Linked DNA regions of Kluyveromyces lactis. The protein of the gene in region 1 interacts with the protein of each later gene in a biochemical or structural test. Links are inferred from orthologs where the notes say so. Each region holds a gene or a part of one and is shown on either strand. Other genes may lie near its edges.

What was found.
Region 2: the proteins of SNF1 (region 1) and SCP160 form a complex in vitro, tested with the Saccharomyces cerevisiae proteins (2 studies listed by BioGRID, with this or other methods). The link is inferred for Kluyveromyces lactis from reciprocal best matches to the Saccharomyces cerevisiae genes SNF1 and SCP160.
Region 3: of the proteins of SNF1 (region 1) and PIB2, one has a biochemical effect on the other in vitro, tested with the Saccharomyces cerevisiae proteins (2 studies listed by BioGRID). The link is inferred for Kluyveromyces lactis from reciprocal best matches to the Saccharomyces cerevisiae genes SNF1 and PIB2.

The regions. Positions count from the first base shown.
Region 1 is NC_006037.1:337,169-342,443, forward strand, and holds SNF1 (AMP-activated serine/threonine-protein kinase catalytic subunit SNF1), read right to left. Parts: upstream 3,448-5,275; coding exon 1,639-3,447; downstream 1-1,638. Other genes in the region: divalent metal ion transporter SMF1, read right to left, coding at 1-119. UniProt on the Saccharomyces cerevisiae protein: Serine/threonine protein kinase essential for release from glucose repression.
Region 2 is NC_006040.1:202,663-208,389, forward strand, and holds the start of SCP160 (Scp160p), read right to left. Parts: upstream 3,402-5,727; coding exon 1-3,401. Other genes in the region: KLLA0_D02420g (CAP domain-containing protein), read right to left, coding at 3,882-4,520; KLLA0_D02442g (CAP domain-containing protein), read right to left, coding at 4,951-5,727. UniProt on the Saccharomyces cerevisiae protein: Involved in the control of mitotic chromosome transmission. Required during cell division for faithful partitioning of the ER-nuclear envelope membranes which, in S.cerevisiae, enclose the duplicated chromosomes.
Region 3 is NC_006039.1:1,483,894-1,489,479, forward strand, and holds PIB2 (Pib2p), read right to left. Parts: upstream 3,076-5,586; coding exon 1,102-3,075; downstream 1-1,101. Other genes in the region: cystathionine beta-lyase STR3, read right to left, coding at 3,913-5,295. UniProt on the Saccharomyces cerevisiae protein: Functions as an intracellular glutamine sensor that directly activates the TORC1 signaling pathway, to promote cell growth when glutamine is available. May play a role in repressing NPR1 activity independently of TORC1 signaling.

The sequences.
Region 1 (5,275 bases):
CATTTCAATATCAACTTTTGACGAACAGAGAGTTTGGAGGCACCACCGGGCATGGACAGCTCAAGCATACTTTGAGGATCCAAGTACTCCTCGGTCACTTCAAACTTATTTTCCGGCATGATATTCTTTCAATTGAGACAACTGAATCTTATTCCCAAATCTTGGCACTATTCTCAATCGACCCGTTGATTTCGTTTGAACTTCCCTACAACGATGAAACCTCCTTCGATATATCCAAACACTGATAAGCAGCTTGTTATACTGGCACTGGAAACTCCCGTTGTAGGATTGAAAACAATAAAAATGACCTGATGAATAGTCCTTATACCTTAACGTTACATTTGCCCTATTTCATCAAAGGTATGCATATATATACCTCGCACGAAAAAAGTTCCCTAGAAAAATGCTCGTTTCATCGGACTACGGTTGAACACACTTAGTTGGTTATTATCGATATTTCGGGTTATTCCTGTCACATGAAATCGATTCTAGATCTTCAGTATCAGGTGGGTCAATATACACTACTATATATAGTACTAAGAAATATGGCTCATCTGAAGATCTGGCCCGGTTGAGCTGATTGTCATTTGTCAGACCTGATGCCTCCTCATATAATAACTCAGGTCAGTTAACGATACTTCAATTAATACGTACCGTATAGCTACTTAACCGCCAATTGCATCGGTAGTTACCCGATCATAGTTTATGTTCCGTCTCAACATTTAGGCAACACAATCTTCCTCCTCAACATCCAAGTTGGTTCCTTGGCCCAGTTGGTTAAGGCACCGTGCTAATAACGCGGGGATCAGCGGTTCGATCCCGCTAGGAACCATTTTTTTGCCCACTAGTATAGCAAATATTACTATTATGATAGACCCGACTATACTTAACAGTATAATAGTCTCATGTTGTGATGTGCCGTGGATGATAGCTGATTGATTGCTCACCTCTTGTGGAATCGTAGAGACCAAACAAGTACTGAATTTGATATAAGAATATACATAGTTAGATCCTTGAGCATATGCGTCTTGCTCCTTCTTGTTGCATCCAACCTCTCAAAAGGTTGCAACTTAACTCAGCCCTAATACTCAACTCATACTCAGTTGTCCGTCGGACTTTTTCATGGTAACTGATAGTCTCATGAGCCACTCGTCATGCGCAGCTTCTGCCTATTCCAATTTCACTAAATATTGTCACGTGACCCTCTTTGATCCATCTAGGCCTTCCCTTCTGGATACCACAGGATCCATATGCCCAGTCACTGACGTCTTGGAACTCTGCCGTGTGCTGGCTAGCTCACATGACCCTTCGTCTGGCCTGTCTTCAGTCTATCTTACGAAAACTACAACAAAGTAGCATCGGTGGTTTAGTGGTAAAATCCAACGTTGCCATCGTTGGGCCCCGGGTTCGATTCCCGGCCGATGCATTCTTTTTTCATGTGTCAAAAACATGTATGTTGTTTTCCTCTTCTTCCCGGCGAGTGTTGTGAGCTAAGAGTAATTTCTCATATAATATAGTGATTGTCATTATTTAATGATATGTATATAAGGCTTAAACTTTAAGCAAATATTCAAACTTATATACACTCTTCGTTGGATATTATCCGTTAGTATTTTTTTAATTTCATGAACCTTAAAATCAACTTCCTTGGCTATTCACTGCAAGTTCCATAATCAGCCTGGTTGCTAAATGTAGAAAGGGGTATGCACTGAACGTACTCATTTCATCGTCGTTCCGACTTGAATACACTACACCGTTACTGGACTCCCAGCCATCAAATTTGAAATCCACTAAGTAGTTATTTGTCTCAATTTGGAACAATTGGATTACCATCTTCATTAAATCTGGAATCTGCTTGTTCTTCATTTCGTCATCAGGCATATCGATATTATATCTCCAACGGACTCTAATAGTCCATAGGTCCTCTTCTGATGGTTTCGCCCATTCGGCTCCCAAGTTTTTCAATGCAATGTATATTTCTCCCATAACGTCTAATGGATAGGATCTTGATCGTATACCGAAATGCCACCTTGTTTTTGATTTTTTCACGCTTAATGGTGAAATCTTAGCAGCAGCCTGGGACCCTTGTGCTACCATGTTGGCTCTATGGATCTGTGGTAACGAGCTAGGTAAAATTGCAATCGTGCTGTCTCCATCCTGAGAACCATTTCCATAATGATATTGATATGTACGTTGCTGTGTTCTCTTTGAATGGCGGTGTGAGTGTCGATTTTTTGAGCCCGGGGGGGCATGCAAGGATTGTTCGAAAGTGGGTGGAGATTGCGATAAGAAAGTATCCAAGTCATTAGATTGTTGCTTGTTCACCTTGATGTCGTTGATTAAATTTCTGTTCTCTTTAATTAACTGATAGGCATCCCTGATTTCATTTAAAGATGGATGATCTTCATCGGACTCTAAAGCCTCATATATCTCATCTACGTCATAACCCATAGTGTTTGATAGCGTTTGAACTAACGAATCATCGATCAGTTCGAGTGGCACGGATGGGCCGCCATCTTCTGTTTTGCTTTCAGAGTTTTCTTGATGGGTGCTTTCAGCAGGAACTAGGTAGTCGGGTAAATCAACTTTGAACCATTCATCCTGCATGATTTCATGCACGGTAATTCTATTAACTGGATTGACGATGAGCATCTTTTTGATTAAGCTCGCAGCACCTTGGGAAAGGAAGTTAGGTATGGTGTAAACACCATTGCTAATGTTCTTAAACAACACTGGGATACTTTCGTCATCGAATGGTAACCTACGACACAACATGACGTATAAGATAACCCCTGAAGACCAAACGTCAACCTCTGGACCTGCATATAGTTTACCGCTGATGACTTCTGGGGCCGCATAATTTGGAGAACCACATGAAGTCTTCAAAAAGTTACCATCTGTCATTATATTAGATAAACCAAAATCAGCAATCTTAACGTTCAAATGTTCGTCTAATAGTAAATTCTCTGGTTTCAAATCTCTATGCACAATTTTATGACGGTGACAATAATCTACTGCGCTAATAATCTGTTGGAAAAATCTTCTTGCTTCTTGTTCAGGCATCTTGTCTCTTTGGACAATATAATCAAATAATTCATTACCAGCATACTCAATCACCATGATAATTTCGTCCTTCGATTTGATCACGTCATACAATTTGATAATGTGTGGATGTCTCAACAAACGTAAGTACGAAATCTCTCTCTCGATTCTACCTTGCATATCACTCTTGGCTAGAACCTTCTTATTGATGATTTTTAATGCCACTTTTTGTCCCGTAGAGATATGGTACGCCAGTTTCACTTTACCAAATGATCCTTCACCCAAGGTCTTGATGATTTGATACTTACCGATATGTTGGCCTTGTGCGTGGTTAGTCAGCTGGCGTTGGTGATGGCCTTGACCTGAGCCACCATGCGGCTGTTGTTGATTTGGGTCGTGCGACATATCTTCTCTGATGAGTATGTACTCGTAAATGCTTCACTAAGAGTTTGCGTTCAACAGAGGGATATCTTGTTTACTCTGAGAATAGTTGCTTCTAATTGAGAAGTTGACTAACTTGTTAGAAAACTTGCAATTCTTATACTAGTGTGACGTTTCTGGAGTCTCACAAAACCCAATTCTATCCGCCCTACAATTACGCATTGATCCTTCTTTTATTGTTGATGTTCCGTATATGACAAGTTTTCAATTTTATCATCAAAATGTAAACGGCGTAGAAATCGTTGATGATGACTGATACCTTATGTAGGAGACCGTACTGGGACGAGTCCGGCGAATTGACCATTTTCAGTCACCAATCCTGTCACGTTTTACGAGAGGATTCAGACAATTCACGAATCCATTCTTCACTACGTCAATATGCTATGACACTACATTAAAGTACATCACCACTCGATAAGTGGCTATTATATACGAACCAAGATGTATATATTACATCTTTAATCTTCCCCAATTACTCTTTTATAATTAGGAATAACGTTAATATCGTATTTTCCTCATTATAAACTGGTGATTCCAAAATTCTGCTATCTATGTATTAGTTTCAATCACTACTGTCACTGGAGTAAATATCGATGACTGCGGCAGGATCGTAGAATGATTGTTGGCTAAAATTTGAATGCTCCATATCGTCCTCGTCATCCGTCCAAGAGTCCGTTGCAATATGTTCAGTCACAGGCATCTTTGAGCCCAAATTGAAACACATCAAGCGATTCCTTACTATCATTGTGCTTTTTAAATTGGAACTAGCAAGAGAAAATCTATCATCTAAAACACGCTTACTGATTGAGAAGCTCCTTTCGACGTCAGCAGTTGAGAGCTTAGTGTGGTAAAAGGCAAGAGCCAGACTGCACAATGCAGGAAATCTTGATTGGTTTTCAAGCCAATAGCTCAAAAAATCCTTCTCTTTCTCCAATGGTTCCCCCAAGTATATCTGCCACTCATCCTTAGGCGCAAAATGGAATTCTGAAATGTTTCTATCCAGATATGCAGATAGGTTTTTTAATAATTTTGGCTTCTTAACACGATTGATATTCAATGGTTCAGTTGGTTTATTGTGCGAGCGAATATCGGAAGTTTCAGTAAATCGTTTGCAGTAACTGACAACATAACTTGTTGCTGATTCAATGACATCCTCTTTGAACGATTGCTCAAAGGACCTGTTCAATAGGTCAGTCTTACGGTGAGGTTGTGAGATATGTGCCACCCAATATCCTGGTTCTTTGAACGCAAAGTCCATGTATTTTTCAAATTTGGGGTACGAGGCCATGACCGCAGAGAAAACTTGTTCCTTTATAGTATTTGATGGTAAATGAGTTTTCTTAATCCCAACATTGGCTACATGCAAAATATCATCCGAACCGTTTTTTAACTCTTCGCAAGACTTGTAATATTGGCGGATAGTCATGTAATATTTAATTCCATTGCATAATGAATTTGTGGTATCATCTTGAAGGAGCATGGTAACTTCTTGAAAAATGCGTGCTATCCTCACAAAGAAAAGAATATACTCCAATTCCTCCTCTTGATAACAAAATACAGAGCAGTCATCTGGAATTAGCTGGAATTCAGGTTTGAAACGGTTATCAAAGAAAAACTCTTTAGCACCTTTAGAGACTTTAAGGAAAACTTCAAGTTGACGGTAACGAGAAAGGAACCTTGTGATATTGTGTTTGGGAATCGTGCAAGGAATATAAGAGCGGATCTTATTTCTGATGTAAACGTTACTCTTTGTATAAGATGCTAGTTTATCAATCCTCGATAGCAGCGACTC
Region 2 (5,727 bases), on another chromosome or scaffold:
AGTTTAGCCTCGGCGATTCTGTCTTCTATCAATTTGGACGCTTTTTCTAAGACTTGATCTTTGCTTTCTTCATCTTTCTTATAGTCTTCACCTAAAACATCACTCAAGTCAATTGGTGAGTATGTTAATCTCCATGGGATTGTGTCAACCTTAGCTTCAGTTTCTGTGACAGATTGAATGAGGACGTTGGAGCTTTCATTTTCACCACCAGCGACATTTTCAGGAACCTTGTAGTTCGCACGAGATAAACTTTGTGCGGTTCTAGTCAAGTTACCATGAGAAACATCAATAGAAAATTCGTTTCTTAACGTTTGGAAAATCAAACCAGAGTTAGAAACGTATGAATGGTATTTGGCAGGGACAGCAATTTCCAAGTCGAAACTATCCCTGATGATTTCTTTTTCGATTTTCTTCTTGCAAGATTCAATATTAGCAGGAGAACCAGAAACAGTGACCTTTTCATCTGAGCTGTTCTTGTTTGGAACATGAATTCTTACTTTGAATTCTGTCTCCAATTCACGTCTTACTGATCCAGCTGGACCAATCAAGGCACCAAACTTCTCTTGTGGAATATTTAGCTCCTCGGTAATGCTGTTTTCTAAGCCAGAAACAACTCCCTTAATTTGTTTGACAACCTTCTTCACAAAGTCAGATGGTCCGAAGATAGTGATAACCTTGTCTTCAGAAGAGGCATCAGGGATATTGACTCTCTTGTTTCTAATCTCATCACCACCAGCTTTGCTGATAATTTCTTTCAATTGGGAGCCACTACGACCGATGATATCGCTATAATACTTAGAGTCGATATCTTCCAGAGTAACTGTCTCAAAATTTGATGCTTGATCAATGATAGATTTGACTTTGTTTGCAGCTTCTTTGATGCTAGATCTAGAACCAGTGATTTCCAACTCGACTTCACCAGCTTCCTTAGCCTTTTCACTGTCGGTTTTGTCCAAAAAGTTTAACTCAACACCATACTCTGCCTTAATATCGTTGATAGTTTCACCACTTTTACCTATGACTCTAGTAACATAGTCGACTGGAACTTTGAGAAGCTCTTTATGGCCATTTTCAATTTCGAAGTCCAAAAGAGCCTTCAGTTCATCATAAGCGGCTTTGACACCACGAGATGGACCTCTGATGGTGACTAACTCACTGTCCTTAGGAAATCTGATGAAAACGGAGTACTTGTTCTCCAAACGGATACGATAAGTGCCTTGAGGTCCACTTAATGTACGGTGGTACTTCATAGGGACGATTAATTCCTTAGTGATAATATCGGACCATTTTTTAGCTTCTGCTAGAATATATGTTTTCGCTTGGTCAAGATTGTATTGCAAACCGGTCAATGTAACATCGGTATTCTCATCCTTAGAATCTTGTGGGATGAAAGTTTGAACGTCAAACTTTTCACGAATTTGTTGTAAGTTAGCACCCTTTGGACCAATCAATCTCGAAACTACATTGGTTGGAACTTGGAATGTGATCTTGGATTCTGTTGATGAATTCTCGACGATGGACTTGACAGCAGCGGAAGCAATCTTACATCCATGGTCATCACCTCTGATAGTAATTTGGTTGACTGAAGGGGTGCTCAACTTGATTAAAGCATGAGCGCCAGCATGAGAAACAGCTTCATTGATCAAGTTCAAAGTGACTTTTGATTCTCCGAGTAGTTCATCCTGTTCTTTTTTGGCAAGGGAAACAACATTGGATGCTAAAAGGCTTTGCTTCTTTCTGATTGGTTCCAATTGTTGGTTGACCGATTCCAGCTTAACTTTTAGTTCATCATCAGATGGCTTGAAATCATCTTCATTGATCTTGGTGATTAGTAAGATATCGTCATTACCTGGGAAACAGTCACCCAATTGAATGAATGGGACATCACTTTCAGTCGAGACCAAGATTTGCTTGATGTCCTTGTGGAATAGATGATAATCCAAATCTGAAATAGTTAACGTTTGTTCTGGAGATAATTCATTAACCAAAGCTACAATTTGTTTACGAACGGTCTTGATAGCGTCTGCGGCATCGTTGTTTGAAATTAAGGTAATACTGACGGATTCCAATGCTGGAATACTTTCCACTTTAGGTAAAACTACTTGCACTTGTGGGAAGTCTTCGGTAATTTGATCTAAGACGTTATATTTTTGGAAGTATAGAATCAAGTTCTTAGCATGTTTAACGTTTTTACCATGAGCTTTTGAAATTTCCAATGATTCCACGGTATGGAATTTAGATGAGTTCTTAGCGTACACGATGGCCTCATTGACGTTGTCAGAGCTTCCGATGAAAACGAATTGATCATCGCCGGAAATACTTGGAGCTTGTACTTCGACGTGGAACTTCTCATTCAATTCTGAAGGCTTTACCAAAGGATGGAATTTGAATGGGACCTTTTCCTTTTTCACCACGATCTTTAGACCCAATTCGTTCAAATAGTTGATCACCTTAACCTTGGCCAATTTAACATTATCACGAGGACCATTTAATGCGATTTCAGCGGGGTCATTGTTTGTAAACAGCTGCGCCTTTACATCAGCTGGAATTTCAACTGATTCTAGATCGATGAAGGGAACCAACTTGGAGTCCTCGACAGGAAGAACAATCTTGGCGTTTTTAGTTTCCTCCTTCACGACGTCCAAGATCTTACTCTTTGCAACGAGAACAGATTCAGCATCGCCGTGTAAAGAGATGGTTACTGAATAGTCTTCCAAATCTGAATCGTAGGTACCCTCATCAACCTCCTTCGGAACCACGATTTTTACACCAGCAGCATCTGAGATTGCTCTGATGGTCTTACCACCAGATCCGATAATGGCAGATCTAGTTTTTGAAGGAACTTCAAAAGTCACATTGACAGGTTTAGTCAACTTCTTGACCAACTCTCTCTTAGCAAGACCAATCTTGTCAGAAGAACCAGAGATCAAGAAAGTACGCGAAGTCTTTGATAGTGTGGATTCCACAGAGACATCGTACTTTTGTTTAACAGACTGAACGATGCTGGAGAATTCGGTCTTTGTGATTTGGTATTGTGCATCTAAGTCTAGCGAGAACACTTCCTGAATGTTTCTCGAACGCAATGGCTTAGCAGAACCAGGTGAAGAAGCACGTCCGTTTTTGCCATGGGAAAGAGAAGAGACACTGTTAACGGAGCTACCTGATTTCAGAGTAGACCCCCAGGAGACAGCATTGCCAGAAGCAGACGCAGCAGCATTTCCTCCCAATCTTGGAAATAAAACCTTGACCGCTGGCGCAGTGGCAGCTTCTTCACCATTAGACTTTTCAGTTTGTTCAATTGTTTGGCCAGCTAATTTCGACGAATCATCAGCAGAAGAAGGTGGCGTATCTACCACGATTTGAGAATAATCTTCAGCAACATCAGGAGTGATTTCAGACATTATTGAAAATAAAGGAAGGTCCGGTTATAACAAAGCAGTAAATCAAAAACTAAAAAATCAGTAACAAACAAACAAATACCCTTAACTAATATTCAATATAGTGAGTGATTGAGTATTAAGCACAGGAAATAAAAGAGAAAAAGCAAACACACACGACTATGATACAGAAAAACGGTTGAGTATATTCTATAGTACACCAATTGATCCCACAATTCACTTATTCGGCTAATCTAGGTGGCTTGAAACCGGTATCTATGATTCAAAGTTTAACTATTTTTATATTTTAAACCTTCTTTTCTCTAACTGAATTTCACTTCTTATTTCTTCATATTGTCGAAGCTTCGAAAAGAACAACGATCCAAATCGTGTGAAAGCCCGTGAAAAGAAAGGAGAAGTGTTGGTTACCCTGAGTTCGTGATTTGCAAGGGAAAGAATCAACCAACGCTTATCAAGTCTTCTGTCATCGGACAGTTTTCTATTTTACTTCTCGGGTAAGACATTTTCACTGAACTTTCCGATTACATTCCCCGGTGGGTCGTATTCGCATACTGTATATTGACCGTAATACTGGCCACATCGTATAAATGCACAGCCAAGTTTCGAGGTATTTTTCCATACCAGCTGGGTGAAATGTCCTGTATTTGCTGCGAACTGTGGGTTGTTAAAATCGTACAGTTTTACCTCGTTATACCATGCTAGAACAGCTGAGGTAGTATTATATCCTAGAGCAAGGTTCTCTCCGTAAGGCAGCTTTGAGTGTTCTAATTGCCCGTTGCATACGTAAGAATTGGCGAAATTTTGTGCTCTAGATGCAAGTTCTGGAGCCCAAACTAGCGATGAAACCTGATGTTTCTTGCGTAATGAGTTGTGCACGTCCAGGATTTCCGTTTTGAAATCCGGGTCCGTGGCCGTTGGTTTTGTGGACACTTGTTCCGTGAAGGTGCCGGAGGCTGTTCTGTAAACAATTGTTCTTGAAGTTGTGAAATGTGTTGTCGTTGAGACGGTTTTCGTTCTTATTATTCGAACAGTGTTGTATTTTGTCACTGTTATACCCTGTGCATGACACAAGATTTTTGCGTGGATTAGTACCACCAATATGAGCCAGTAAACCTGATTCATTTGGCAGGTGTTGCTCTATTTCCGAAGTTTATCTATCTGAAAAATTATGCCTCAAGGGTTATAGATACTTAAGCCATTCGAAAACCAGAAACATTAATGGCCCTGTTTATAAGCTATCAAGTTGCAAGCTCTGCCGATAGCTCTGTGTTCCAGGATTGTATGGAATTTGCAAGAAAACTGATAGGGTATAAAAACGTATACATAAAACGACAAAAGGTATCTAAAAAATACGGACTGAATTCTAGAGTAAAATAAGATAGTGACGCCAGCAGACGACCGGGATAATCAAACGATAATCTACCATCTTCCTGTCTGAGAACTGAAAAACTGTTTCGTTGTCCTGAAATATAAAACTGGTATTTGTATTGTGGGTAAGAGCCATGACAAATGTTTGACATTTGTTTCAAAAATATCCGAAATGAGATTGGGTTTAAGCCAATGGCTCGACATTTGAGGCAAAAGTACCTAGCATGTTACCAGCTGGATCGTAGGAACAGATGATGTAGTCGCCCCATACACCACCACATTGCTTGATACCACAACCGACCTTGGTGGTGGATTTCCAAACAACTTGGGTGAAATGACCGGTGCTAGAGGAATAATCTGGATTGGAGAAACTGTAATCCTTGATTTCGCTGTACCAAGCATCGACAGCACCAGTGGTACCATAACCAATGGCCAAATTCTCACCGTATGGACCACCAGAATGAGTCAATGAACCTGAACAGTCGTAATCATCAGCGTAGTTTTGAGCGTAAGAGGCCAATTCATCGGACCAGGACAAAGTTGGAGTGTCCTTATGTAGAGCTCTCTTAGCATTGTGCTCATCCAACATTGAAGACGCGAAGGACGAAAGGTTAGAGTCAGAGCTGGAAGAACTGGTAGCTGCAGTAGTGGTAGCTGGGGTACTGGTAGCAGTTTGCTCGATGGTTGGAGTTGGGGTCAAAGTAGTTTGTTCAGCAGTGGATGTGGTGGATGGAGCACCAGTAGTGGTGGTATCTTCATCAGAGACGTACTCAGCAGCGACAGCTTGAGACGATGGAGAGGCAGCAGCACCGGCAGCAACAACTTGAGTAACAAAAGCGGCCGTGTCAGTTTCGGTGGCTGGGGCAGCAGTTTCGACGGATTGCCCATTTACAGTTCTGTATCCGGTAGAAGTAGTGGTACCATCAATGTAGACATAACCTTCGACGATGACGGTATGTCT
Region 3 (5,586 bases), on another chromosome or scaffold:
ACTTCTTCCAATACTTGATTCAAAACATTATCTTCCGAACTGGTAGCAACAGGACATAAAAGACGTGACTCATACGAATTAATCCCATTTAAACAATGTCTAAGTAATAATCATGTCAGAACACACACTCTTTGTTCGCAATGACTTTATCTTGTCTTTCTTTACATCTGTGGCACGAAATTGATAACAATATGACAAAAAAGAATAAACAAAGATAGGACCGACAGAAAAGGGAAAATCTTTGTTATTGGTAACTCTGACACCTTCTCATCCAAACTTACATTTTGTCTCGTTTGTCAACTACCCCCTTGTGTTTAATCAGGTATGGAAGGAGTGACGTTGACCACACATGAATTATGCAGACGCTGTGACTTTTAGTATAAGAGTTGTGAGATATTACTTCTTATTCGAGTATATATGTACGAATATATATATATATATATATTGAACTAGGTCAACTAGAACATTTAAATAAATTAATAATTAATACTACTATTATTATTACTCTTATCATTCTTATTCTTATTATGTTTGGGAGAGAAAAAGAATGGTTTTGTAAATGGTAACATGGTGATGAAATTTAGAGAAAACAAAAAAGGATCCATATGGTTTTAGACGCTTTACTCAGTTCCTTCGTTTGATTAACGTTAAGGATGGTATAATATAATGGTAGGGATAGATTTTCCACACTGGAACGGGACACGATATAATATAGTTTATGATCTGAGCGAAATAAATGAAATGAAAAAAAGAGACAACAAAAAAGGCAAACGGAACATGGAAAATATAAGGAGTCAAACGAGCGATGTTACAGATAGTGACAGTGATAATGGCAATAATAATAACGAATAATAATAGAAAAGAGAAAAATTTGGAAAATCTGAAAATACCGAAAACAATAAATAACCAGGGTGACGAGAAATCCCCCTTATATTGTGTCTGCAATGGAAAAAAATGGGTTTTAGGCTCTATCTTCCGTTAGGGAATAAACTGGATAAACGTAATAAAATGGGAAAAGCATAGGCGAAAATGGATCAGGAAGTGTAGTAATAAGGATAACGAGGTGATGAAAACCAAAAGATTTGATGCAACATTCGTAAATTAGAAACTGCTCCAAGACCAATCAGCAGGAACACTTCCTACAATATTTTCCAAGTGCTGCCGTTGGTTTACACTACCCTCAGTACCATTTAATGCTTCGTCTATATTTCTTCCTGTTGCGGGTTTTGGCAAATTGAGTAGTGTGTTAGAATGGTTTCCACTATTTTCATTTTCATTTTCACGAATCGAACCAGAATGTGATGAAGAAGTTGAGGAAGTAGAAGTAGAAGGTGGTTGCTGCTGCTGCTGTTGCAATTCTGCCTGATCTTTGGCGGGTCCAGCCTTAACCAGAGTGTCATATTCATCTAAGCAACTGTCACATATTTTAGATAGCACGCCTAACCCTCCACAACCAATGATAAACTTGGCGTTAGGGTTTAAGTATAGCCAGTGTCTGACATGTTGCTGGCAAAAGATATCACCGCAATGCCTGCAGTGATGTTTTCTTTCCCAGAACGTGAAAATTTTGTGACAGTATTTACAAGAATGACGTTTGGAATCTGGAATCCAGTGCTCTTTGGTGGGTTGAATCAATTGTAATTGCAGATCCCTTTCATTACACAGCCAGGATTGAATTTTGTTTCTATAAGTGCTCACAATGGATGATGTGGTAGAATGAATACTTCTGGCGTAATTTGAATTGGAAGTGTTCGAATGTTTAGACAGCACAGCTTGTAAAGTTGTTTGTGTTACATCAGATGGTGTAGGAGAATGTGACTTCAAATCTTCTATCTTTATGTTCGTCTCAGAAATGTCTCTCAACACTGCAGGAACATACATCGGTTTCTTCGGTTCGTTAATCTGCTGTAAGAGTCTCTTCGAGTTAGATGAGGCTGTACTATTGGAACAAATGCCCTTAGCTTCGTTGAAATTATGAGACGTTCCATGTAAAGTTACACCAGTTGGTTGCGAAATAATTTCCAAAGATTGCTTACGAGCTTCGTTTTGATCCCCTGATGCCTCCATTGCTACAGAGTTCTTACGAATGGTAGCAGTTGTATCCAAAATAACGTTTTTTCCACCAAACTTAAGTTGAGTCAGAGGTTCTTTTGGATCCACCAAATTTTCACTCGAGGTCAACGGCGTTGTCTGTACTGATTTACATACAGCACCCTTACTTTGCTGCAGCAACGAAAGTTTCCTCAACGCATCTGTTGTCAACTTGTTTTGCTTTGAAATATCATCTTCTTCAGACTCGGAGTCATGAGACGAATCTATTGGAGATGCGTCGCCACTGGATTCATTTTCAGAGTTACTATTAGTGTTGTTGGTAGTAGTATCTGAGGCAGCATCTTCGGAACCACGAGATGACCCTTTTCTCGTCTTAGAGTCTGGATTTGCCGTATTCAGGTTAGAATTCGAATTCGAGTTCGAATTCGCGGTCGAATTGGAACTAGTATTCGAAGACGATCTCTGTTTACATAAATCCCTAGCAGATTTCCGTTTATCATCGTTAAAAGGTAACTGTTGGCCAATTCTTGAACGTGACTCAGTCATTGGTAAATCCGACAGGAAAGTTTGCTTGTTCTTGCCCGCAACCCCGTTGCGTTTCTTGACCATCGTAGAAGCCATAGCTGGCGACTGTATCTGTTGAGTGGGATTGATAAACGTCGTTGCAATACTGCTGCTGTTATTATTACTATTATTATTATTATTACTGGTATTATGATTGTGCATCGTATTGGTACATTCCTCTTCATCACAGTTCTGCGATTGAGGCCCACCATGCTCTCTAGTGTTCAACATACTCCGGAGTGAGAACGAACTCAAAACACTCTGTACAGACATGGTTCTGGCCCTAGGAACGACTTTCTGCTTCTCAAAAGTGATAGTCGACTTCGCCGATTTCATCGATGCTATTGACGTCTCAGACCCATTTCTAGACCCATTTCCAACTTCTGCTTGATTTTTCAGTTTTCCAGTACACGCAGCTGGCACATCGACCTCACTGGTCTGAGAATGAACGCTGCTCATCTAGTAAAATTCAAACGACAAAAGAAAAAAAAAAACCCCTGGATGTTATCTTATACTTTATAACTCAGACAGACAATGGAATTACACTCTTCTCTTCACGATTCAAAACACAATCTTTGAAAAACCAAATAGAATACAATATAGTGTGAAAAGAATGAAGCAAATACCGTCTTTTCGTCCTCCTAAAATATAATGAATTAGAACAAAACTAGTAGAAACAGTAGTAATAAAAAAAGGCCTCCTTCCGTAAAAAAATTTTTGACCAAAAAATAAAAAAAAGACAACTGTATAACCGAATGTCAACAAGTTCTCCCCAGTGCTCCAGAAACCTGCTAATGGTTGTGTTATTGAAATTCCTTACGCTATCACAAGATCTTTACAGGATGATTAAAGAACTAGATAAATTATGGGAGTCAAGGAGAAGTGACTTTCTAAAAAGAAGGAAATTATATTTTTTTGTTTTTATCGAATCCAGTGTTCTGTTCTCTCTGTGAAAATTGATTTCCAAAAATTGAATAATCCGATGAAAATTCCGTATTACTTTTCCGAGCTTTCTCGCTGCTGCTTACTACCAAAGGGTCGCTGTGGCTACGCAGTCATCTGGGTAAATCATCACTTTTTCCCCCTTTGAGATTACGGGTCTTTCATTTTCTAAGGAGAGACAAAGGGCGGGTAACAGAGAAGGAAGACTAAGTCACGTGATCGCTGATTCCTTTTCTTTTCTACCTTATTTATTGGTTGGCAATGGAGATGAGTTTGAGATGAGATGAAATGAAATGGATCAGTTAGAAGATTTACGTATTGAATATTATAGAGTAGATTTGGTTGTTATCCGTTCTACAACTTTGCAGTGTGTAGATGAGATGTCTTTGATACGAGACGTTGACCGAAAAATTGGTCGTAAACGTTGTAGTTTTCTTGGTATGTTTCTCCGATATTGTTTCTTGCAATGTGTCCGTTCTTCTTGTTCAATAAATATGTATCGTTACCTCTCTGTTGCAATTCGATCAAGCCTGCTTCCTCGAATGCGGCAAGTAAGTCATATTGTAAATCTTTGACGTCTTCTATCCCACAACAGAGTCTGATCAAGTCTTCAGGGAACGCTCTTTGTTTCCGTAGTTCTGGATCGATGGAGGCATGTGACATCTTGCATGGCATGGAGATCAACGAGTTGACACATCCAAACGATACCGTGACGGCCCATATATTTAGTCTTTTAGAAGTTACAATGGCTTCGCTTAGTGCTAGGTCGCCAGTCTCAATGGATAGCACTGCACCGGGACCATTGTTGAAACTTTTATGCAATTCGAACTGAGGGTGAGATTCCAACCCAACAAACCTTGTCTTTAGTTGCTGGTTATTATCTGTAGGCTTGAATCCGCATATATCTTGTAGCCAGTGCGAGAGCACCATTGCGTTTATCTGTTGTTTGTAAAGACGAACAGATAAGGTCTTGAGACCACGGATCAAGAGCCATGAATCCATCGGAGATAGACCGGCACCGGTACTGTTAATGACGAAATATACGGATGGAGCCACGTCCTTCTTGGCTATTATTACACCAGCCATGATATCGTGGTGTCCATTGAGGTATTTCGTACCGGATTCGTATACTACATCTGCTCCGAATTGCAAAGGGTTGGAATTCAAACCTGACATCATGGTGTTATCAACGACGATTTTACAGTTGGAACTTGAACCACCTTTTTGTTTCACAAATTGGCACAGCCTTGGTAAATCGGCGACTTTCATCAACGGGTTGGTTGGAGATTCTAAAAGCACGATATCAACTTGCCCCAAAGAATTGTACAATTTGATGAACGACTCGGCATCCGTAGTATCTGTGTGAATCACTTTAGCATGGTTTCTCGTCTGTAGGAACGTTAATAAACGTTGAGTACCACCGTATAAATCATCACCAGCGATTATCGTTGGGATGTGATCTGAATTATCTATCAAAGTTCTCAAAATGATATCTAGTGCAGTCATCCCACTCGAGACGGCAAACACCTGTTCTGGTGCCACATCGTAAAGATTAGCGATCTGTTGTTGCAATACGGTTCTAGTTGGGTTTCCTGACCTCGTGTAGTCGTACTCTTGCAACTGGTCGAAAGAAGAGGCTTTAAAAGTGGTAGATTGGTATAGTGGAGGCACGCTTGATCCGTATTTATCGTTATGGGAAACGGATACCAAACTGGTATTCAGTGATGGCTTGCTCATGTTGGAAGTTTATTGGTTGGTGTTAGTGTTGGATTCTGATATGGCAGACTAGTGTTAGAGATGGATTTGGAAGATACAATCAAGGACAAGAAACCTTTATCGTACCTTATATATATATATATAGATATAGATATAGATAACTGACCTTGAGTGAATAAACTATGCAAAGTGTGGTATTGTGTGTATAAAATGACACATATCAAAAACAACAACTAGTCAATCGGGCTCAAAACGTTTCTTTAACCTTTCACAACTTAGGGTCAACGGGTCTTGGATTGTACCTATGTATGG